Linked DNA regions of Alligator mississippiensis. The main gene of each other region encodes a partner of the protein of the gene in region 3 in a complex. Links are inferred from orthologs where the notes say so. Each region holds a gene or a part of one and is shown on either strand. Other genes may lie near its edges.

What was found. Proteins that work in one complex are often made in the same cells at the same time.
Region 1: CACNB3 (region 3) and CACNG1 share a complex: the UniProt entries of both Homo sapiens proteins name them as parts of the calcium channel complex. The link is inferred for Alligator mississippiensis from reciprocal best matches to the Homo sapiens genes CACNB3 and CACNG1.
Region 2: CACNB3 (region 3) and STAC3 share a complex: the UniProt entries of both Homo sapiens proteins name them as parts of the calcium channel complex. The link is inferred for Alligator mississippiensis from reciprocal best matches to the Homo sapiens genes CACNB3 and STAC3.

Annotation. Positions count from the first base shown.
Region 1 is NC_081831.1:5,752,525-5,760,465, forward strand, and holds the start of CACNG1 (voltage-dependent calcium channel gamma-1 subunit), read left to right. Parts: upstream 1-4,932; 5' UTR 4,933-5,045; coding exon 5,046-5,280; intron 5,281-7,941. UniProt on the Homo sapiens protein: Regulatory subunit of the voltage-gated calcium channel that gives rise to L-type calcium currents in skeletal muscle. Regulates channel inactivation kinetics.
Region 2 is NC_081838.1:7,291,182-7,298,780, forward strand, and holds the start of STAC3 (SH3 and cysteine-rich domain-containing protein 3), read right to left. Parts: upstream 3,010-7,599; 5' UTR 2,915-3,009; coding exon 2,715-2,914; exon of another isoform or gene 2,307-2,714; coding exon 2,246-2,306; intron 1,879-2,245; coding exon 1,617-1,878; intron 878-1,616; coding exon 780-877; intron 653-779; coding exon 577-652; intron 483-576; coding exon 385-482; intron 1-384. Other genes in the region: R3HDM2 (R3H domain-containing protein 2), read right to left, coding at 4,063-4,409, 5,124-5,208, 5,420-5,520, 6,120-6,264, 6,359-6,531, 6,701-6,801, 7,071-7,225. UniProt on the Homo sapiens protein: Required for normal excitation-contraction coupling in skeletal muscle and for normal muscle contraction in response to membrane depolarization. Required for normal Ca(2+) release from the sarcplasmic reticulum, which ultimately leads to muscle contraction.
Region 3 is NC_081838.1:6,573,034-6,580,317, reverse strand, and holds the start of CACNB3 (voltage-dependent L-type calcium channel subunit beta-3), read right to left. Parts: upstream 3,076-7,284; 5' UTR 2,174-3,075; coding exon 2,129-2,173; intron 127-2,128; coding exon 4-126; intron 1-3. UniProt on the Homo sapiens protein: Regulatory subunit of the voltage-gated calcium channel that gives rise to L-type calcium currents. Increases CACNA1B peak calcium current and shifts the voltage dependencies of channel activation and inactivation.

The sequences.
Region 1 (7,941 bases), on a different chromosome or scaffold from region 3:
GTCCCTTCCGACCCTAACATCTATGAATCTATGAATCTATGAAATAAGCCCAGTTCCCTTAGTCTTTCCTCACAAGCCATGTCCACCAGTCCCTGAACCATTTTTGTCGCTCTCTGCTGCACTCTCTCCAATCTGTCCACATCCTTTCTGTAGTGGGGGGCCCAAAACTGGACACAGGACTTCTGATGTGGCCTCCCCAGAGCTGAATAGAGGGGAAGAGTTGCTTCCCTTGACCTGTTGGCAACACACCTATCAATGCAGCCCAGGATGCCGGTAGCCTTCTTGAAACAAGGACACACTGCTGGCTCGCATTCAGCTTATTGTCCACCGTCACCCCCAGGCACTTTTCTGCAGAGCTGCTGCCCAGCCCGTCAGCCCCCAGCCTGCACCGGTGCAAGGGATTGCTCCATCCTAAGTGCAGAACTTTGCACTTGTCCTTGTTGAACCTCATGAGATTTCTTTTGGCCCAATCCTCTAATTCCTCTCATACATGCCATGCTGTAACTGTTTTGATCTCAACTTTTTTCTTACCGATCTTTACTAGTTTGGCCACTCAACCCTCTTACACATCACAGAGGTCTTGCTTGATGGCTGTAAGATGGGAAGTCCTGGGAGCTTCCACTGGAAGATTTTGCCTGTGCTATTCTATCAGGGAGCAGGCTCTATGCCCCACCACTCAGTCTGTCCACAAAACCAGTGGAAACTTCATGAATCATAGAAGTCGGGTCGGAAGGGACCTTGTAGATCTTCAGGTCCGACCCCCTGCCTGGGCAGGAGGAAAACTGGGCTCAAATGACCCCAGCCAGGTAGGCATCAAGCCGCTTCTTAAAGCTCCCCAGGGTAGGAGCCAGCATCACTTCCCTTGGAAGTTGGTTCCAGATCCTAGCCGCCCTGACTGTAAAGTAGTTCTTATGGATGTCTAATCTAAACCTACTTTCCAACAACTTGTGGCCGTTATTCCTTGTTATCCCGGGGGGTGCTAGGGGAAACAAGGTCTTCCCCAAACCCTTCTGGTCCCCCCTAGTGAGTTTATAGACAGCCACAAGATCACCCCTCAGCCTTCTCTTGTGAAGGCTGAACAGGTTCAGGTCCTGTAGCCTCTCATTGTAGGGTCTGCCCTGATGTCCCCTGGATCATGCGGGTAGCCCTCCTCTGGACCCTCTCAATGTTGTCCATATCCCTCTTGAAGTGCAGTGCCCAGAACTGGACACAGTACTCCAGCTGCAGCCTGACCAGTGTTGCGTAGAGGGGGAGGATCACCTCCTTGGCCCTACTTGAGATGCACCTATGGATGCACGATAGGGTCCGGTTAGCCCTGCCGACCATGACCTTGCATTGTCGGCCCATGTTCATCTTGGAGTCAAAAATGACTCAAAGATCCCTTTCTGCCTCCATGCTCTCAAGAAGGGAGTTTCCCATCTTATAAGTGTGCTGCTGGTTACTACTGCCCAAGTGCAGCACCCTGCACTTGTCCGTATTGAAATGCATCCTGTTTTTGTTAGCCCACCTTTGCAACCTATCCAGGTCTTTCTGCAGTCTTTCCCTCCCTACTAGTGTGCCCACCTCACCCCAAATTTTGGTATCATCAGCAAATTTGAACGGGTTGCTTTTCACCCCGTCGTCCAAATCGCTGATAAAGAAATTGAACAGCGCAGACCCAAGGACCGAGCCCTGGGGGACTCCGCTGCCCACTTCCCCCCAGGTCGAATATGACCCGTCCACCACCACCCTCTGAGTACGACCCTTCAGCCAATTTGCAATATATCTGACCGTGTAGGCATCGATGCCACAGTTGCCTAGTTTTTTAATGAGGATGGGATGGGAGACAGTGTCAAAGGCCTTGCTGAAGTCCAGAAAGACTACATCCACAGCGACACCTGCATCCAATGCTTTTGTGACCTGATCATAAATGCTGAAGCTGGGGTTCTTTTCACAGAAACCCCAGCCCTCCAAATTCTCGCTAGGCTTCCTCGGCTCCACGGTATCCCTGTTCTAGAGACTTGCACTAGCGTCCTCTAGAGCACCTTTCCACAGAGGCAGGTATTTCACAACATTTATCAAAAGTACAACCATGCAGCCACTATTGAATCTAGCAGTATCAGCTGAGGTGTTGAAGTCCAGTAGGGTTGCAACAATGAGAGAGTCCCATTCACTATGTATTTCTGTATTTCACCATGTTACAATTTGGCCGCAGCAATATCCTTTATTTTTCTGTGTGTGGGAGAGCAGTCTGATGGCAGGGCTTCTCTCCCTAATTTTCAGTGGCCTGGTCCATGCATTGTATGGGAGAAGATGTTTTCTGTGCATCTGCTTTCTCTGTTCTGTGTACATTGCAAGGCTTTTTCTGACCAAAGAGTCCCCCCGCAACTGAAAGTCCCTGCTTGGTGTAAGGAAACCAGCTGCTTTCTAACCAAAGGAAATGTGTGGATTCAGGGCCATAGACCTCTGGAATTTGGAAGGATTGCCCCAAACACTTTTGTTCGCATGGGTAAAATCCTGTTCTTATTGACCTGTCCGTTTCCCTCTGTTACTGGGAAGGCTCCGTTACCTCTAGAGGCACCATCATGGCCAGAGGGCTTGGAAGAAAAGGAGCACAATCCACTGTGCCTGTTGAATTTGTTAAGGCACTGTTAGGTGCAAACTCAGATGCGGACACCAGTGACAAGAAGCAAACAGTACCACGACAGCTACTCCTGATTCCAGGGAAAGAAAAGTACTGGGGCTTTAGGAAGTTTTGAAGACAAAGACATTTTTAAAGCCACAAAAAAATGTTCATGGAAAATTTCATATTTTTGAATGAACAATCTGGGTTTTAATAAGGCTGTTTTTTGAAGGGAAAAAAATGTTTAAAAACATTGGTAGTGTTAGACCGGGGTGGGCAATTATTTCAGCTGGAGGGCTGCTTAACCAGTTTTGGTGAGCTGTCGAGGGCCGCATGGGTAGCCCACCTCTTGATGCTTGCCCCACCCCCTGGTCGCCATCTTCAGATGGAAGTCCCGCCCCTAACCCCTGACCTTTGCCACTAGAAGTCCCTCCCCTTGCCTGTGATGTGTAGCACTGGACAGAGCCACGTGCCTCTGGGTGCCAGCACCTGCCCTGGGCACAAGCATCCTGAGAGCCCCCGCTTGCTGCTGCTGCTGCTGCCAGTGGGGGCTATGCACCATGGTGGCTATCCCACCCTCCCTCACACTTCACAAGTGCCACACACCCACACCCAGCCCTTACAACCTCCCCACATACCCTATTTCCCCCCACACATACGGCCACACACCCTTACAAACCCCCCACTCCCCACCATACACACACCCCCACACCCTACCTTACACACCCCCACACTCCACCATACACACATACCCAATACCCCACCATACCCATACAGCCCCACACCCCACCTTACACACATACCCCTATCCAACCATACACACACCCTCCACACAATATACAAGACTACAAAAAGGCTGCCCTGAACTTTGTCCTGCAGGATTGGGCCCCACATGCTCCCAGGAGCGGCAGGGGCCCGAACCTGTGGGATGTCTGTTTTACCCAGTGAAGCAGAGGAGCTGTGCCAGGACACTCCCAGCACAACTGATCCACTTCATTTGCTGATGCCTGTTTACACCTTAATAAAAATCTACTGCAGAACAGCATCAATGTAAGACATAGCGTGATGGTACAGAACAACACACCAGGCTAAAATCCTCCATAAAACAAGTGCTGCTGGCCAGCTGACAAGCACAGACTCAGTCACCTGCATGCCAGATATGTACAGCAGCATGCCAACAACTACTGAGCAGGCTCCCTGCCAGCCACAGTATTTAGGGTCAGTTGAGAGGCAAGCCTGAAAGAAAAAAAATCTGCTGCACTGCTGAAAAGCATTTCAACCTCTCATTGTTTAGCCTATATCCCTCCCCGCTCCAATCCCACTTAGACTCTTGCTGAGAGGGCTCTCTTTCAGACTGTGACAATAAAAACTAATGCTGATGAGACGATGCTTAGCCAAATTTCTGTCCTTTCCACTCATGGCTAAATGTTTTTCTGGATAGCAAGCACCTTAATACATATTTTCCAGTTAATGTGCATCATTTCAAAATGGCATTTTCCATTTAATAACTGACCTAAATTTTAAAAGAAAAGAAGGGCTCAGACAGAATGGTCTGGGTTAGATTTAAAAAAAAAAAAAAAGAAAAAAAAACCCTTATTTTTTTTGTTTCATCAAAAAGAATTTTTAAAAGTTTCTATTGTGATTTCAACTGAAATGTTTTTTCCAGTACTTGTTTTAACCACCAAATTGAAAAATCCATTATTTATCCAATCCTATCACAGTGGAGATATACCTGGATTACAAAGTAAAAGTTCGGTTCCATAATTAGATCAAAATCCTGACTTCTACAAAGTTTTGAGGTGTTTGGATACATTTGCACAATTTGTGTTTTTGCAAACATTGACTTGAGTCGCGCATTCCCCCAGGATTGAGAATGCCTGCAGACAAGGAGGAGATTGATTTTGGATCCAATATTGAATTTTTTTGAATAAAAGTGAGCTCATGCTTATCTCAGTTACAACAACAGATATTTTACATACTAACTGGGAAGTTAAAAATTTACACCATTGACTGTTCCTGGTCACATTGTGAGTCAGGCGGTCTTGGTCTTACAACCGTGAATTTAGTTATACAGATCTAGTTTTGCTTCCAGTTGGCATATGGACCTCCAGAACAAACCAAGGAGGAATGAACCAGTAACCTGAGCTGCAGCAGCAGTTACTTCACTTATTACGTGCATTAAAAGAATCCCCACTCACAACAAGTCCAGTCATCCAGTCTCCTGATATATCTCAACAGCTGTACTTGTGGCCATATCCATCCCAGCCCAGTCTGTTCTTCTTTTTTGCATCACAGGGCTGACATTTGAAAATGCTTAGACATGCCAAGACTTTGGGAGACCATTTGAATAACTTGCAATGATCTTCCATGCAAGCAGATCAAGGCAGACTCAGCAGTAATCACCAGGCAGAGGCTGCTCTATGTGTTCCAACACAGTCCAGCCATGGACGAAGGCAAAACACTGAAAATCCGGCTAACTTTCTCCGTTATTTTGGTTGGTGTTGCTTTATTGTTTGCAGCTGTGGTGACTGATCATTGGGCAGTGCTGAGCCCTGAAGTGCTGCACTACAATGCCACCTGTGAGGCTGCTCATTTTGGGCTATGGCGGCTTTGCACAAAACGGATTTACGTGCAGGATACTAAAGAGAAGGGCTGTGGACCGATCAGTCTGCCAGGAGGTACGTGTCAATGCTCGTTTCACATCCCTTCCCAGAAATGCCTGAGAGAAAATGCCACGTTATTGCTATTCATGTCTTTTAGGAACCTACAAGACATATTGAAAAGGAGATATGGTTCTTTGTTCGCATTGCACTTAGTCTTACAAGATTTCCTGAGTGAATTCGGTTCCATATTAGCATGAAAATACACCTTATTTTCATATTTCCTTGAGGCTTATCTTAAGTACATGATGTACTGCCACAGTACATATCTTCAAGTATATTCAGTACACTGCCTTTCAGTAGCTTCTGTACAGAAAAAAAAAGAATATAGTTCGTATAACAGATAGGAGATGGCAGAAAGCATAGACTGAAATCAGGGAAATGGGACATTTTCTCACTGGTGTTTTGATGAAATCTTCAATAGGCCCAGCCCCAAAACACCTACACAAGCCCTTATTCAAGGAAAATGTATATAATTTTCACTGTGAGGTTTGCCTGTATGAGGATTATAAGACAAAATCTAGTGTCTGCAGTTAGCTCAGAAGAAGAACTTCCTGGTTCAGATAACTTCAAAGGGACAGCTTGTGCAGGAAGGATATTAACATATCCCCAAGCTACCCTGAATAATTATCATTGCTTCAGACAATGTGCAACTTTGGACAATCATACAACTTTTAATGTATCATGCTAATGTAATGTCCTCCCTGGAAACCATCTCCCTCATTTAAATGCCAAAAATCCCGTAGACTGAATTAGAAATAATATATCATCAATTTATTGGGTTTCCTTAAACTTCAGTGACTGAAAGCAAACATATTCCAACATTATTGCTAAATGAAGTTTAATCAGCTGCCTTTCTTCATGACAAGTAGTAACATACGTTGTAAGTAGCCCTTACTGCAACTAGTAGGCATGGTAGTCAAGTAGGTGATTTCCAGGGAGAACATTACATTAGCATGATATATTAAAAAGTCGTATTATATTTTTGCTGGATGGAAAGTCAGCAACATTCATGCAACATGTGCTAATACCCTACTCACAACTTCACTAAGCTGTATTTTAAAGAGGCTTGCCATGAATTGGATTATTTGCCAAGCAGAAGTAATAGGCTGCTTTGCTTGTTAGAAATACTATTTGAAGCTAAGGTTAGATTTTAATATATTTGTAAATATGCTATGAAATTGCATAACGATAAATCTCAGTTCATGTGATTAATTAATTTATTATTAGAGATCTGATCCGCAGCTTTCAGATCCAGGCTTCCACCAAATTTGGAGCTGTTTGAGTCTAGACGACTGGCTGTAGGCCATATCTAATATGCATAATAAATGTGTTGTAATATGTATGTGCAATCCTAGTTTTGCAAACATTAGAGCTTCTATGTTTAACATAAAAATAAGGATTCATGGGAACACCAATACTGCATGTTGCTGGATACATTTATAACTTATAAATACCCAGCTGTCTCTATAAAACAGATTCTGAGTCACTGCAGCAGAGAAATGACTGCTCTTTTTGATGGACATCACCATGTGCTTGCATGGTTGTCACATAGCTGAGCTATCCATCCCTCTGCACTGCCTTCCTAATGTGTCCAGTAAACAAATAGGTAATTATGAAAGAAGTGAGCCAGTCCTCTGCAAAGCAACTTGAAAAGACTAGACATAATCTTTGTATGCTGCACAGGTCAGCACTTGGCAGTTATTCATGAGATTTGATTAAATTTAATCCCAACCACCTAACAATTAATTTTCTAGCACCAGTCATCCTACTACTGGAGGCTTTGAAAGAGTCCGTCCCCCACATTTTTTTTTTTTTAACAACTGTTAATAACATTCTCATATCTCCACTATAAGGTAGATATTACTGTACCCATTCTCCATATAGGGAATCTGAAATAGGGAGGGGTGGACTAAAACTAGCCCCACATATAGTCCATAGCAGAGTTTGAAAAGAAACCCAAGAATCCTGCTTTTCAGGATTCCCCCTTATATTGTAGGTAATATTGCCATTATTGTAATGGTATCACACTCTTGAAAAAGAGACATTCCAGTTGTCAAGCTTGGGTTTGTCAAGAAAGTTTAGCAGAACAAACAGACAAGCGGGGATTTTGCTTGTGACCATATCAGTAGATCTTTTTTCCCCCTTAAATGTCATGAGATATTAAATCCTACACTATCATCATCATCTGAAAAATTACAAGTATTTACTACTTCATTAATAGCCACTTACCCAGTCATACTCACGGAAAAGATGGATGGCATTGCTACTATTATTTATTTGTTGAGTTCAGCACGGTATGGCATGAAAAGGAAGGGCTTGGGGATTGTAAGCTAAGAAAAGGTCTTGTGATTCAGGCAAAGAGAATTAAAATTACTTAAAAAAATATGCTAATAAACTAGAAAGGGTTCGTAAATTTATCCAAGGAATGACAAGATTTAGTAGTTGGAAGTTTAAGTTAGACATCAGGTTTTAAACATGTGAGCCTTAACTGTAACAGACCTTTGGAATAACTTACTTGAGGATGGGGTAGACTCTTTATCATGACAAGTCTTTAAATCAAAATGGGATGTTGAAAGGTAAATCTTATTCCTTATCCCCCAGAAGATATGGGCATGGTGTAGAACATCACCAAGTGACTTTTATAGCCTGTGGATGCTGGAGGCAGATTGATAAATG
Region 2 (7,599 bases), about 720 kb from region 3:
CCCCAGGGGACTGTGGCTCATGGGAGGTGGCCTCGTGGCTGCCCCAGGGCATTGTGGGTAAGGGGAATAGGGCCCTGTGGCTGCCCCAGGGGACGGTGGGTAAGGGGGGGTGGCCCCGTGGCTGCCCCAGGGGACAGTGGGTAAGGGGAGGTGGCCCCGTGGCTGCCCCAGGGGATTCTGGGTACTGGCGAGGCAGCTCTGGGCAGCTGGTTCCTGGGGCCTCTCAGACTTGGGGGGAGGCCCTGCCCCAGCCTACTCCCAGGCTGGAGTTTCCCACAATGCCCTGGGGGTCAGTGGAGGGCCCATCACAACAGCGCGATGCCTTGGGGAGATGGATGTCCCCCCACCCCCCAGTGCCCCAGCACCCCCCAAATGCCCCCTCACGTTCTTCTTCTCCTCTTGGCCCTTCTTGCGCTCCTTGTTGGCCATGATGACGCCTGTGCGCAGGGTCTCGAACACGGGGTCACTCCGGTTGGTGGCGGCTGTGGGGGGGGGGATGCCCCAGGGGGGCATTGAGCATGGTGGGGCAGGGCCTGGGGAGTCCCCGAGCGCCCCCGGGGGGGGGCAGGTACTCACAGAGCAGCTCCTTGACGCAGGCGTACTGCTGGTCGCTGTACAGGGGCGAGCTGTAGGCCCGCCGGAAGCCGGGCGGCTGCGGGGGAATAGGGGTTAGGGGCCAGCCCGGACACCTGGGTTCTGCCCCCGGCCCTGCAAGGTGGTGGCCCTGGCAGGCCGGGGCAGCACCCGGACGCCTGGGCTATGCGGGGTCCCGCACTCACGATCTTGCCGAAGCAGCGCTGCATCTTGGTGTAGGACTGGCAGTGCTGGTGGATGCTGGTCTTGCAGTTCTTGCACCGCAGCCCAAACTTGTTGTTCACTGTGAGGAGGGGACGGCTCAGCCCCAGCCCTGCAGCCCCTGGCACCCTGCAGCCCCCCACAGTCCCCCAGCCCCAGCCCCAGCCCCTGGCTCCCCAGCCCTGGTCCCCCAGCACCCAGCCACTGGTCCCCAGTGCCCTGCGGCCCCCCAGGCCCAGCCCCCGGTACCCTATGGCCCCCCAGGCCCAGGTCATGGCCCCCGCAGCCTCCCAGCCCCAGCATCTGTTCCCTGGTGCCCTGCGGCCCCTCACGGTCCCCCAGCCCCTGGTCCCTGGTGCCCTGCACCCCCCAGATCCTGGTCCCCTGCAGCCCCTGCAACCCCCACCCCAGCCCTGAGCCCCCTTCTGCCAGCACCCCCGGACACCCAGCCAGAGCAGAGGATTGTGGGCAGGGCCGAGTGGCCCCGTGGTTGCCCCAGGGGATTCTGGGCAGGGCCGAGTGGCCCCGTGGTTGCCCCAGGGGATTCTGGGTAGGGCTGAGTGGCCCCATGGTTTCCCCAGGGGATTGTGGACAGGGCTGAGTGGCCCCGTAGTTGCCCCAGGGGATTGTGGGCAGGGCCGAGTGGCCCCGTGGTTGCCCCAGGGGATTCTGGGTGGGGCCGAGTGGCCCCGTGGTTGCCCCAGGGGATTCTGGGTAGGGCTGAGTGGCCCCATGGTTTCCCCAGGGGATTGTGGACAGGGCCGAGTGGCCCCGTAGTTGCCCCAGGGGATTGTGGGTAGGGGAAGGAGGTCCCCACTCACGGACAATCATGCGGGCACAGACGTCGCAGAACTTGGGCTTCTTGAAGTAATGCTCCTTGAACTTGTGGGGCTTGTCATTGACGGGCGGCGGTAGCTCCGGGGGCGGCTCGGGCTCCTCCTCCTCCTCTTCCTCCTCCTCGTAGATGTAGTAGAGGGGCCCCCCCGAGGGGCTCACCAGGGCCCCGTTCTCGGGCTGCGGCTCGGGCGTCTCAGGCGGCGGCTCCGGGGCCTTGCGCTGGAAGAGGTGCCGGAGCCGCTGGATCTGGGGGAGATGGGGCTCAGCAGGGAAACTGAGGCACAGAAGATGGGGGGAGTGTCCTGGGCCGCATGGCAGTGATGGAGGCAGGGGTGGAACCCAGGAGACCCCACAGCCCTTCCCCAGCTGGGCACGGAAACCAGCTCCCACTGCCCTAAAGCACCAGGCGCTCCCCCTCGTCCAGGCCGGGGTACAACCCAGGCATCCAGGCTCCAAGCCCTCCGGCCCACTCGGCCCCCTGGGGAGATGCTGGCTGCTAGGAAGACACAAATAACACTCTCCCAGGGCCCTTCAAGTGGGGGGGGGGGAGCAGTGGCAAGGCCCTGCCCTGCCCCACTAGGGCTGCCCAGGACCCCTTGGCCCCAGAACGTACCTGGCCCTCGGCCATCTCTCCCGGTGAGGCCGGTGGCTCCAGTGCTTCCTTCTCCGTCATACTGCCAAGGCAGGGTAGGGGTCACGGCTCTGGCTCCCTTGCTCTTGTGCCCCCCACTCCCAAGATCTACCTGGCCCCCCAGTCCCAGTCCCACTGTTCGGGGGCTGCGGGTCAGAAGTGCGGGGCATGGCTGGGGCTGGGGGGCAGGAGAGGCACTGCCAGGGCTGCAGGGGCTCCCCCCTCTGGGGGATAGTGTCACTGCCCCCCCCCTGCAATGTGCCCACCTTTGGGTCTCCCCGCCAGCTCTCCCAGACGCTTGTACAAGGAAAGCGCCAGAGCTGGCCCCCCCCATGGGCCTCTCCCACCCCCAGGGACAGACAGCAGACCCCTGGGGCCCCCGCAGCTCTCGTAAGGCCGAGGGGGGTGACGGGGAGGGGTGCAGGGGCTCTGGGGTGCAGGGGGCACTCACACTGTGGCCGGGCTGGGCAGGGGCCTCTCACTCCAGCTCCAGGCGGTGCCCGCGGATGGGCCAGGACAGCTGCGCCCGCATGACAGCGAAACCCGAGCTGGGCGGGGGCTGGCCACGCTCATGGGGGCCAGGGCACAGCTTGGGGGACTGCCCCATGGGGGGGGGGGCACAGCCAGGGCCCAGCCCATGACATATGTCATCTTGGGGGGGGGGGGTCATGAGATCATAACCCCATGGATGGGGGTCACACCCCCTTGCCCTCCTTGCATGGGGGGAGGGGGGCAGGGTGTCAAACCCAGTTCTCCTCTCCACCCCCCACAGTGTAACCATGCCCCTTGCAGATGGGGTCAAAGGCCAGGGGTCAGACTCGGAGACCGCCTTGGTGACAGACGATTTTTTTTTCTTTTTATATTTAAAAATCAAAAAATCCCCCCGCCCCCCCCCAATAATAATAATAAACCCATTAAATAAAATGTACAGTGACCAACCCAGTGCGGCCACGCGGCGCCCGACAGAGCAACGGACATGGGGCTGGGGGCATCAGGGCCAGCCCAGGGGTGGTGGCGGTGGTGGTGGGGAGAGGGTATCTGGGCTGGGGTGGAGGGTCCAGGCCAGGCTGGGAGAGTCTGGGGGCTTTGGGAGGAGGGGCGTCTGGACCAGGGTTGTAGGGTCAGGACCTGGCTGTGACGGGCTCAAAGAAAGGCGAGGGGCTGGGGTCCTGGCTATGGCCTGGAGGCTGCATGGACAGGCCAGGGTGGGATGTGTGTCCAGACTGAGCCTGGGGGTGGGGATCACAGCTGTGTGTGGGGTTGGGTTCAGGCCAGGCCAGGGGATTCGGGGGGGGGGGGGGAGATCTGGGAGCTGTAAGCTGAGGTGTTTATGGGGGTCCAGGCCAGGCTGTGGGGGTCTGTGGGGGCAAGGGTCCCAGGCCAGGCTAGGGGTGGTTTGGGAGATCCATGCCAGGCCAGGGGGTCTGTTGGGGGGTGGTGGTTCAGACCAGACCAGGCTTGGGGGTGTCCAGGAGCTGTGGGAGATCAACCAGGACACAGGGGATGTGGGGAGGTTCAGACCAAGCCAGGCTGGGGGGTTCCAGCCCAGGCTAGGGGGGGGTCTGTGGGGGGTCCAGGCTGGGTCAAGGGGGAACCAGGCCAGGCCAGGGGGGTTATGGGGGTCCGGGCGAGGACCTCTCACTCCAAAATCAAAGGGCAGTGGCAGGAACAAATCACTGTCTCCTCTTCATCGCGTCCATATAAATATCTCCAGAAAGAAACGGGGTGAACGAAAGCAGAGGCGCGCGGGGAGGCTCCGGGGGCCAAAGTCCAGCGCAGCCCCCAGCCCGGCAGGGGCCCTACTGGGAGCTGGCGCGCTCCAGCACGCGCAGGTCGTAGTGGCGCTTGGCACCACGTAGGCGGAAGCGGCTGAGCGGCGTGTTGAGGCGCAGTGAGGCGTTCTGGGCGGCCAGGGGGCTGGGGAACACGGCCACCACCGTGTAGAGCGCCGCCAGGTCGGGGTGCCGCCCGTTCTCAGGCCCCACGCGCCCGTCCCCGGCCCCCGCGCCTGCCCCGCGCCGGCCCCGCGTCTCCTTCAGCCACTGGATCTTGGCGCCCGCCATAGCCAGCTGCGTGAAGAGCTTGTCGGCCTCGCTGCGCGTGATGCCCTCGGGCAGGTCCGTCACCTCCAGCACACGGCCCGGCACTGTGGGGACACGGGTGTCAGCCAGGGGGGCCACGGGGGGCCCATCCCCGGCCCTGAGGGGATCTAGGAGCCCAGACGCCTGGGTTCTCCCCCGGCGCAGTGGGCGAGGCCTGGGCACGGCGGTGATTTTGTGACGGCTGTGGCTGGGGACAAATCCCAGCAGAGCCCGTGCCAGCCACCCCCACCTGTGGCCCCGGCTGGCCCCGGACCCGGCCAGCTGAATTCCTTGCTAATATTAACCCGGGCGCAGCAAACTCCCCCTCCTGGCTCCAGTTTCATTGGGGGGGGGGGGAGCAGGGGGCGGAGAGAGCAAGAGGCTCCACCATGGCGCTGCAACGTGGCCCGCAGCTGTCCTGCAGGACAGGGGTGTCATGGATGGTCCCAATAGCAAGCACTGAGCCAGCTCCTAGGGTGAAGCCAGCCAGGAGAGAACGCAGGCATCCTGGCTCCCAGCCCCCGACCATGCCCTGCCCCCTACCCAAGCTGGAAGCAAGGACAGTGGGGGAGGGGGTGGCATTCCCTGCCCATGCATTAGGGTTCAGCTGTGGCAGAAGCTGCCCCATGCGCAGCTTTGTGGGCAGGGAAACTGAGGCACAGAGCAGGAGAGGGACAGGCCAAGATACCCTGGCTAGGCAGGGAGGGAAAAGGAGTCCAGGTACCAGCCTCTACACCCCGTGCCCCTCCCAGACATACCCCGGGGGGGGGATCACTTGCCTACATCGCTGGTCCCGAGGTCAGTGGATGCGGACTTGAGGGCCTGCCTCTTGCCCCTGTTCCCGTGCTTCATTCCTGTCTGGCTCTTCAAGAGTTAAAAGAGGTGTTCCCTAAGATGCTGCCCCCTACTCCCTTGCCAACTTGCCCCCCACCCCCATGCTAGCCAGGGTGGCAGGGCTCAGTCCCCCCTTCCCCAGAGCTCCTGAGGGGGCAGTGGTGACCCCAAGCTCCCCCCCATCCCTCAAGATGCCCCCTCCCATGGTAGGAGCTACCCCTTGCCCGCCCAGCGCCCGTACCTGGTGCGAGGTGTAGCTGGGCTGGCTGTGCAGCAGCGGGGGGGGGCACAGCGCCAGGTTGTACTGCAGAGGCTGCCCCAGCAGCGAGTAGCGCCCGTCGCCTGCCCGGTGGGAGCAGAGATTGGTGGGGGTCCCTGTCAGCTCCCCACCACAGGAGCAGCCTGTGCTTCCCACCCCAGGGGGCTCCAGACTCCGCCCCCTGGCACTGACCAGCCAATAGCCCCACCTCATGGGGCTGGAGACTCCACCCCTTGGCACAGAGCAGCCAATGGCCCTACCCCATGGGGCTCCAGACTCCGTCCCCGGTACTGACCAGCTAATGCCCCTGCCCCATGGAGCTCCAGACCCCACCCCTTGGCACTGAACAGCCGATGGCCCCACCCCAGGGGGCTCCAGACTCCACCCCCTGGCACTGACCAGCCAATGCCCCTGCCCCATGGAGCTCCAGACCCCACCCCTTGGCACTGAACAGCCAATGGCCCCACCCCATGGGGCTCCAGACTCCACCCCCTAGCACTGACCAGCCAATGCCCCTGCCCCATGGGGTTCCAAACTCTGCCACCTGCAGAGACTGACCAATGGTCTGGCCCATTGGGCTCCAAGCCCCACCTCCTGCAGAGACTAGGGGCTCCCTCCTTGTCCCAGAGCCCCTGGGCCTGCACGGGGGCAGCTGCCCCACAGCTCCTGCCCCTGCCCCTACCTTGTGCTGGGCCCACGGGCCGGGGGAACTGGGCGAGGACGGGGAGGGGGCTCAGCCCCGGGCAGACGCTGCTGAGGCTGGTGACAGGCGACGGCGTCGGGGACTGGGTGGGGGATGTGATGGGGCTGCTCAGCTGGGTGCTGGCCTGGGGGGGGGCGGGGGGGGGGGAGTGGGTCAGGGCCCAGGGCTTCCCCACAGAAGGGATGCGTTGGGCCCAGCCCCCCCGCTCCCCCTTGTACCTGAGCGCTGGTGTCGGGGCTGTATAGCTCTCCGGGCTTCTGTGCCCGCTGATCCAGGCCGTAGTACTTGCAGTGACTCCACTGCACCACGGGCGGGTTCTGGGGGGGCTGGGGGCCGTTGGGCACATTGAGTTGCATGACGACCACGCCGGGCCCCGACGCCGACACCCCTGCTGGGAGGACATTGGGGGGGGGGGGGGGGTGAGATAGGGGCTGGTGCAACGTGGCCCCAACTCCCCTGGCCTGGCAATGGCTCAGCTGCGGGGGGCATCACTATCTGGCCCCTGCTTGAGGCAGGGGCAGCAGAGGGACCCCCGGGGTGCAATGAGGTGGGCTCGCTACCTGAATACTGCTGCTGCATCTGCGGTGGGCTGCAGGGCGATGGGGACTGGGGCAGCTGGTACTGCTCGGAGCCGGGCGGCTGCAGGAACCCAACAGACGAGCTGCAAAGAAGGGGGTGGATGGTGATGGAGCAGGGGACAACACCAGCCAACTCCCCCACCCCCCACAAGGACCCGCAGCACCTTCAGCTCATGCATCCTCGAGATAGGAATGCGGCTGCTTCTGGGGAGAGAGCTGAAGGGCTCCTGTGTGAGCCCCCATTGCACAGATCCCCTGGTCACAGGCAAGACCCCGCCCCAGGTCCTCCCAGCCCAGCAGGGCCACACTGGCTGACTAACCCCACCACAGCCTCAGCTAGCCTGTCCCATACCTGGTCCCGTTCTGCTGGGCCGTGGGGATGACGCTGTAGTAGACAGGCAGCCCCCCGGCCTGCAGCCCCCCCTGCACCGACTGGCTGGCAGGCACCAGCACCTGCTGCTGGAACGGCTGCTGCACCACGCCCTGCGCCTCTGAGCCCACTGGCACCTGTTGGTGGGGGGTGGAGACCCCGTTAGCCCAGGCTGGGGGGGCTCAGGGGACATGACACCCCAGCAGTGACACTGGGGACAGGTGGGCAGTGTCAGTGCAGGGGGGGGCAGTCAGGGACATGGATGCCCATGGGTGGAGGAAGACAGATGGGGTGGGCATCAGGGAACCCCTTAGCCCAGAGCTGCCCCCCCCCACCTGCCTGAGTTCAGACTATAGATACCCACAGTGGCTATTAGCACCCAGCACCCTGATGAAAGGGAGGATTGGTGGCGGGGGGACCCTAGATCCATCGTGCCCAGTCTCTGGTGTCACACAGGGGCAGAGCGGAGGCTGGAAGGGAGAGTGACTGGGCCTGAGCAGGGTTTTCCCTG
Region 3 (7,284 bases):
CACCTTGGCTCTGTCGAGCTGCTGCTGGGCCTGGCTCTCCACCTGGCGCCGGGCGCTCTCGCGGTCTTCCTCCAGGGACACGTCGGAGTCCAGGGACGGGCGGCTGGTGTAGGAGTCGGCTGAACCCTGTGGTGGAGGGCACCTGGGCATCAGCCATGGCCCCCTGTGCACAGCAGCCAGCCCCCCGGCAGTGTGGCAGCGAGTGCGGTTGCTGCATCTCCCAGGTGCCAGGAGCAGGCTGAGCCCCAGGAGCCCCGGGAGCGAATCCCGGCTCGCGCCTGCCCTGGGGAGGTGAAGTCAGCTCCTGGCACCAGGGAAACAGGGCAGAACCAGTGCTGCAGCTGCCACCACATTCCCCCCACCCCCTGGCAGCCCAGGGTAGGGGGGCACCCGCAGCTCGGTGGGCCCAGCCCTTTGCTCTCGGGCACAGAAGCAGCTGGGCCACCCCCCCACCCCTGGGCGTGACAGGCACCAATTACCCACCCAGGCCACGTCCTCCCTGATGCAGCCCCCCCCTCCCTTTTTTGCTGCTACACCAGGTGTAGCCGGACTTCTGGGTCCACCTGCAAGTGCAGGGGTTTGCCCAACTCCCAGGTTTTCTAGCTCTGCTTAGCTGCAGGGCGCTGCCTTCGTCACATCTGAGCCTCAGTTTCCCCCCGCCCAGTGCTCCCTCCCCTGCCATGGTCCTTGGATGGGGTCAGTCCTGGCCTCAGCTCCAGGGCACGTCGATGCCCCAGTGCAACACGTGAGCATGAGCAAAGCCGTGCGCACGGATGTGCGTCAGACATCCGCACCCGCCACTATCCCAAGGCATGTGTTCGTGAGTGCCAGGGCACAAGCGTGTGCCCAAGCGTGGGATGCATGAGTGTGTCCCAGTGCAGGCCTGATGCGGGTGGGATACGGGTGCCAGCGACTGGCATGACCACACGTGGGAGCGGGGCCCTGAGTGGCAGCTGTGTGACACTGGCGTGTCTCAGGGCTTCTAGCATGTACCACCCCCCCAATCGCTCTCCCTGCAGTGACCTTTGCTCCCTTGCAGGCTGGGGAAGCAGAGGCAGAGATGCCGCCTCCCCTCCCCTCCCGGTCCCATCTGGCTCCTGCCCCACCCCCCTGCGGCCGGGCCCGGGGCTCCTGCTGCTCGGCAGATGCCCTGGGAAATGCCAGGCGCGGCCGCCTGGGGGGAAGCGCTTGTGTGGCTGCATCTGATTATCCAGCCCCCTGGTGCCCACCCACGCGCTGCGGAGCAGAGCAAAGCGCCCCCCCCACAGGGCAGCACCGGGGGCCACTGGCACCAACACTGGGCTCCCGGGAGCCCAACATCCCCTGCCCCCGGTCTAGGCCAGGGGCAAGGGGACCTGGTGCCCAGCCTGGAGGCTGCGGTGACAGCCACCCCAGCAGACAAGCACCCCATGGGGAGCTGCAGAGAGAGAGGAACAGAGCTGAACCCTGCTCCCCCAGACCCTCCCTGCTGGGAGCCTCCTGCTTAATTGAACAACTCCTGCTGCGGCCCCAAAAGGAAGCCGAAGCTGTGGTGAAATATTTATAGGCCCCTGGATCTGCACCCCCCGTGGCCTCTGCCCCCTCCCCAGGACACGCTCCCTGTCTGGCACTGTGGCAGGGCTGATGCTTGCCCATGCCCAGGCCGGGCCAGGAGGGGACAAGAGCTGCCCAGCCTTCTGGTACGGCCACCCGTGGCCTGGCCCAGGAGCCCATGGGCACTCTTACGTGGTGCATGGGCCCCCCGTTCTGGAGCTGGAGCCGGGTCCGTGGGACCCTGCCAGCTCAAGCATTGCAGACGGCTCGCATGGCCCTGGGTCCTGGTGCCACGCGACTCCGGCAGGCTGTATGGAGGGGGGCCTCCAGAGCCCCCCCAGCACCGGTGCCAGGCCCTTTTCCTGCACCCGCGGCACTGAACTGTCAGCCCCCCTCCCTCTGCGCCAGCCATCCCTGGCACCCACCTCCGCCATAGTGCTGTATAAATAGCTCAGTCAGGGGTGGGGTCTGGTAGGAGCCCCCCCACCAGCCCCAACCAGGGGGGCCTGGCCCTGGCACCCACCCGCAGGCTGGGGGGGCACTGCCGTGGCCAGCTCCATCGCCCCCCTCCCCTTGGCCGGCACTCCCCACTCACCACCTCGGAGTCCTCGAAGCCATGGAGATAGGAGTCGTCATACATGGAGGAGCTGCTGGGGGGGGGTCGCAGCAAGGAGGAGGGGGGCACCGGGGTGCGGGGCTGCGCCGCCCTGTGCCGCCGGAGTCGGGGCTGTGCTGGGGAGGCTGGGGCCGGGCTGGGCTGGGCACGGCGCCGGTGCCAGGACCTGGCTGCACCTGCCTGTGGGGCTGGCGCGGGGGGAGCGTGGCAGGGCGGGGGGGCGTGGCGAGGCGCGCGGGGGAGCGCGGGGAGCCGGCAGCCGGTGCAGCACAAGGGAAACAAAGAGCTGGGAGAGGGAAGGGCCGGATCCGGCGGGCGGGCGGAGGCAGGCTCATCGCCGCGGCAACGCAGGAGTGGGGGGGGCGGGTGACTGTGGTAAGGGCTGCTCTGTGCATGGGGCACAGGGGCCGTGGCCTTGCCCTCAGTCTGGCCTCTGGAGTCACCGGCTTGGCACTAGTGCCCCTCGGCACCAGCCTGCTCCTCTGTTCACGAGGGCCTTTGCACGGGCCGGCTGGCCCTGCTCACAGAACCTAGGCATCCTTGCACGAGGACCCAGGCCCAGCCCCAGCCCTCCTTGCACCAGGGCCCAGCCCCAGCGCCCCTTGCATAAGGCCCCAGACACAGCCCTCTCTGCACAAGGCCCTGGCCGCAGTGCCCCTCACACGAGGACACAGGCCCAGCCCCAGCACCCCTCGCACGAGGGCCCAGATACAGCCCACCTTGCATGAAGGCCCAGCCGCAGCACCCCTTGCACGAGGGCTCAGACCCAGGCCTCTTTGCACAAAGGCTCAGACACAGCTCCCCTCGCACGAGGACCCAGCCTCAGTCCCCCTCGCACGGGCCAGGCAGCCCGGACCCCCATTGCGGAGATGGGGGAGCTGCGGGGGGGCCCAGGGCTGGGGGCAGACACAAGCCTGCCCCCCCCCAGGCACAAGCCCCGCATCCTCTGCCCCCCCAGCCCGTGCACCCGGCCCGTGCCACCGACGGGGCCGCGCTGCCCGGGCCCCGCACCGCCCCGCACCGCCCCGCCGGTACCTCGTGCAGCAGGAAGGTCGCGCTGGAGTCAGAAAACGACATAGACGGGGCCGGAGAGACCCGCACCCGCGGCGCCTCTGCCCGCCCGGCCCGGCCCGGCCCGGCCCGCACCGCCCCGCACCGCCCCCGGGGCGGGCCTGGCCCCGCCGCCCGCGATGCCCGGCCCCGCCGCCGCCCGCAGCCGCCGGCCCCGGCCCCGGCTCCGGCCCCGGCCCGGCTCCGCCTCCCGCCGCCGCCCGCACCCGCTCCGCCGCCCCCCGCCGCCGCCGCCCGCGCCCGCAGCAGGTGCGGGGCGAGCGGGGCCCGGCCCCCACGGACCCCGCGCTGCCTCTCGTGCTCCCCGCGTGCCCCCTGCCTCGCATTGCCCCCCCCACCGGACCCCGCGCTCCCCCCGTGCTCCCCGCGTGCCCCCTGTCCCGCATTGCCCCCCCCTCCAGACCCCGCGCTGCCCCCGTGCTCCCCGTGTGCCCCCTGCCTCGCATTGCCCCCCCCACCGGACCCCGCGCTGTCCCCCGTGCTCCCCGCGTGCCCCCTGTCCTGCATTGCCCCCCCCTCCAGACCCCGCGCTGCCCCCGTGCTCCCCGTGTGCCCCCTGCCTCGCATTGCCCCCCCCCGGACCCTGCACTGCCCCCGAGCTCCCCGTGTGGCCTCCCTGCCCCGAACTGCCCCCCCCCGGTGGAGCCCGCACTGCTCTCGCTGCCCTGCTGTGCCCCCCCCATACCCCACACTGTCCTCCGTGCCTCCAGCTGCCACCCCTTATGCTCTATGATGCCTCTGGCCCCTTGCTGCCCCCCAGCCTCTGCCCAGCTGTGCACCCCCCCGCCGTCAGTAGCTCCCAGTGGTCATGGCCGGTTGCCCTTGGCATCACAGCCTGATGCAGCCGCTGCACCCCCGAGCCCTGGGCAGTGGGTCACATCAGCTGGGCCCCGCTCAGCCCTCATCCCTTGGACCCCAGCTCTCAGCCCCAGGGCTGTTACCTCGTTGAGCAGAAAGACGCTGGAGTTGGAGAGAGACATGCAGGGTGTGCGGGGAGCCGGTGCCGAGTGCCTCCGTGCCCAATCTGGCTTCACGTCAGCCCAGCCCAGCCCAGCTCGGCGCAGGGGCAGGAAGCCCAGCCCACACGCTCCCGCGGGATGGCGCACGGGACAGCGCACGAGCATTTCATGGGGCGGCGCACGAATGCCCCCAGCCCCCGATGCTGGGCCCAACACCCAGCACCCCAGGGTCCTGTATGGCTCAGGCTCCAGGCCCTCTCCTGGGAGGGGGCTGCCTGGACCCCCCCAGCTGGACTGCAGCTCTGGGCTGGACGTGGGCCACGTGTGGTGCTGCTGGCGCATTGCCGAGTCCTTCTGGGCTGGAAGGAGCCCCTAGTGCTCCCCGCATGCCGGTGAGCGCTGGCCGCCAACACCGGAGATGGCCCTCAGAGATTGTGGTTTTGCACCATGAAAACTTCAATCATCAAATAGTCCCCATGCCGGTGAGGCCTTCTTGCCCCGGCATGGCCCCGATTTCCCAGGCCCCAGCCCGCCACAGTGCTCTGGGGTCACGAGGTCAATGCCAGGCCCTTTTTGGCCTGGGCTGGCCCAGGAGCTGGCAGTGGCACATCCAAGCCCCAAAGCAAAGCCCTTTGGGGTTGGGCCCTGCCTGGGGGAGCCACGACCCGGCCACGGAGCCAGGCCCGGGCCCAGCTGCCATCCCGCAGCCCCTGCCCTGCTGGCATCTCTCCAAGGTGCTGATTGGAGCTTCCCTTGGGTCAGGGTCAGGGTCAGGGACTCAGCAGCCAGCTGCCCCCCCCAGCCCAGGAGCCCCGGGTGGCTCAGCTGGGGCAGGGTAGGCTGAACGGGCCGCACAGCAGCTCTTGCCATGCATGTCTGGGCCCCACTTCCAGCCCCCCCCAGGGCCATGCTGCACCCCAGAAACAGCTGCACCCAGCGACGGCTCCGGCCTGCCTGTGCCCCCCAAAAGGGACCCGCTTTGGGCCGCCCCCACCCCCAGCAGCGCGGGCCGTGCTTCTCCGCACTCCTTCTGCTGTATCGACCCGGGTGCCAGGCGGGCGGGAGGTGGGGGGGCCTGCCATTATCTGTTGTGCAGTAGATGCATAAATGCGAGCCGGGCCCAGGCAGCGCCGCTAATGGATGTGCCGGGCCAAGGCCAGCGCATGCCCCCGGGACACGCCAGCATCTTCGGTTTCTCCAAGAGGAGATGGAGGCGTGGGGGGAGGTGGGGGTGGGGGGCTGGGCTCAGCTCCTGTTGCCCAGGGCTTCTGCCCCCACTCCTTCCAGCCTGCTCTCTGAGGCAGGGAGTGGGGGGGTGTGAAGCGGCCAAAGACAGGGGGGCTGGGAGCCAGTCCTACTCCGGGAGGGGCTGGGGGCTGGTATCTGAGCAGGCGGGCTCTGACTCCTGGGTTCAAAGAGCTGGTGGGGGCGGGGGGGGCATGACTCCTAGATCCCATCCTAGCCATGGGGTGGTGGTAAGTTGCTTCACTTCCCTGTGCCTCAGTTTCCCTGGGGGGTCATGAGTCTCAGTTTCCCCTGGGGGGCCCAGCTGAGCCCACCCTGCCTGGCCGCAGGTTGCCCTGGCCACTGTCTTGGACTCCACATGGCTCAGACCAGGCTGGGCTGAGCAGCACTGGTGACCCAAGCCCCCCGGCCCGAGCTGCAGATGGAGAGCTCAGCATTTCTGGGCGCGTGCCCTGACGCAGTGCTGCTCTATACAGAGCTGCCCCGAGCCTCTTGCTGACGCCAGGCGCAGGACCCCTTGGCTCCACTGGCCATGGGAGAGCAGGGCCCAGGGCCCAGCACAGGGGGGTCTGAGGGCCAGGACTCCTGCCCTCATCCCTGGGCAGGACTCAGCACCCCTCCTGCTAGCTGGAGCCTGCACCCCATATGGGGGCACTGTGCGGCCCCGAAGGAGGGCATCATGCATGCGTGAGTGAGCGAGTGAGCCTGCAGCCATGAATTATTGAGCAGCCCAGGCTGCTGCCAGGCGCCTCTGCAGAGCCACCGTCCCCCGGCACCGGGGATGCTCCCCCGCTCGGCCCAGCCTGGAGAGCACTGCGTGGGGAAGGGGGGGGCTGGGTCCCGGGTGCACAGCTAGGCGGGATCAGCTGGGCAGTGGTGGCAAGGGGGCGCTAATGAGGCAGGGCTGGGCTGGGCTGGGCTGGGAATGCAGGGGGGCTGGCTGGGGCAGTCAGCTCCACCTGGGAGGTTGTTATGGGTGGGGTGGGGGAGCTGGGGGAGCAGGGAGGTGGGAATGGGGCACAGGAGCCAATGCAGGGGGAAAAGGGGCACTGGTGTTTGCACCCCCTGGCAACAGCCAGCCTGGGCAGGGTCTGGGGGCAGATGGGATGGGCAGTGAAAGGAGGGCTGGGACAGACCCTCCTGCAGGGGGGTGCTAGGGGCAGGGGTGGTGCTGCTACGGGGTCTGAGCCACGGCGCCGCTCCAGGGTGCTGAGGCTCCAGCTCCACTGGGGCAGAAGGGGGTGGCTCTGGTGTGGTTGGGTGCAAGGGAGAGGCACCGGCTGGCATGATCCCGGTGTGGTACGAGTGCTTCACCGCATCCCCAACACGCATGCTTGTGCACGTGCACGCACACGCATGTGTGGCCTGGTCTGGCCTGGGCACCAACGCACCATGAGACGCTGGCCATGGACAGAGGGGGACATGGTGGGTCATGTAGGCACATGCGCAGATCCAGGGCAGCCAAAGCTCATAGCCTCGTGGGGGAGCCAGGACCCCTGACACCCCTGGCACCCAGGACCACCTTGCCAGGGATGACTGCCGGAGACAGCGCCACACAGGTATGGCCCGGGTGCCCTTCATGCCCTGAGTGCCCAGACTGCGGGGGACAGGAGTGAAGCTGTCAGCTCCCATGGTCCTGGACCCAAGTGTCAGGGCAGCTGAATGTGAGGCTGGGTTTCAGGGCCAGCTTCACTGCCCCCGCAGGCCAGCCCCCTCCTGCCTCCCACCGGGGGGCTGGAAACCTGTGGGCAGAGATGCCTCTAGGTCCCAGGACTCTGACAGGGGAACAGACATGGAGCTCAGGGATCTGGCTTTGCGGGGGCTGCAGGCTGAGGTCCCTGGTGGGGGGCTTGGGGGCTA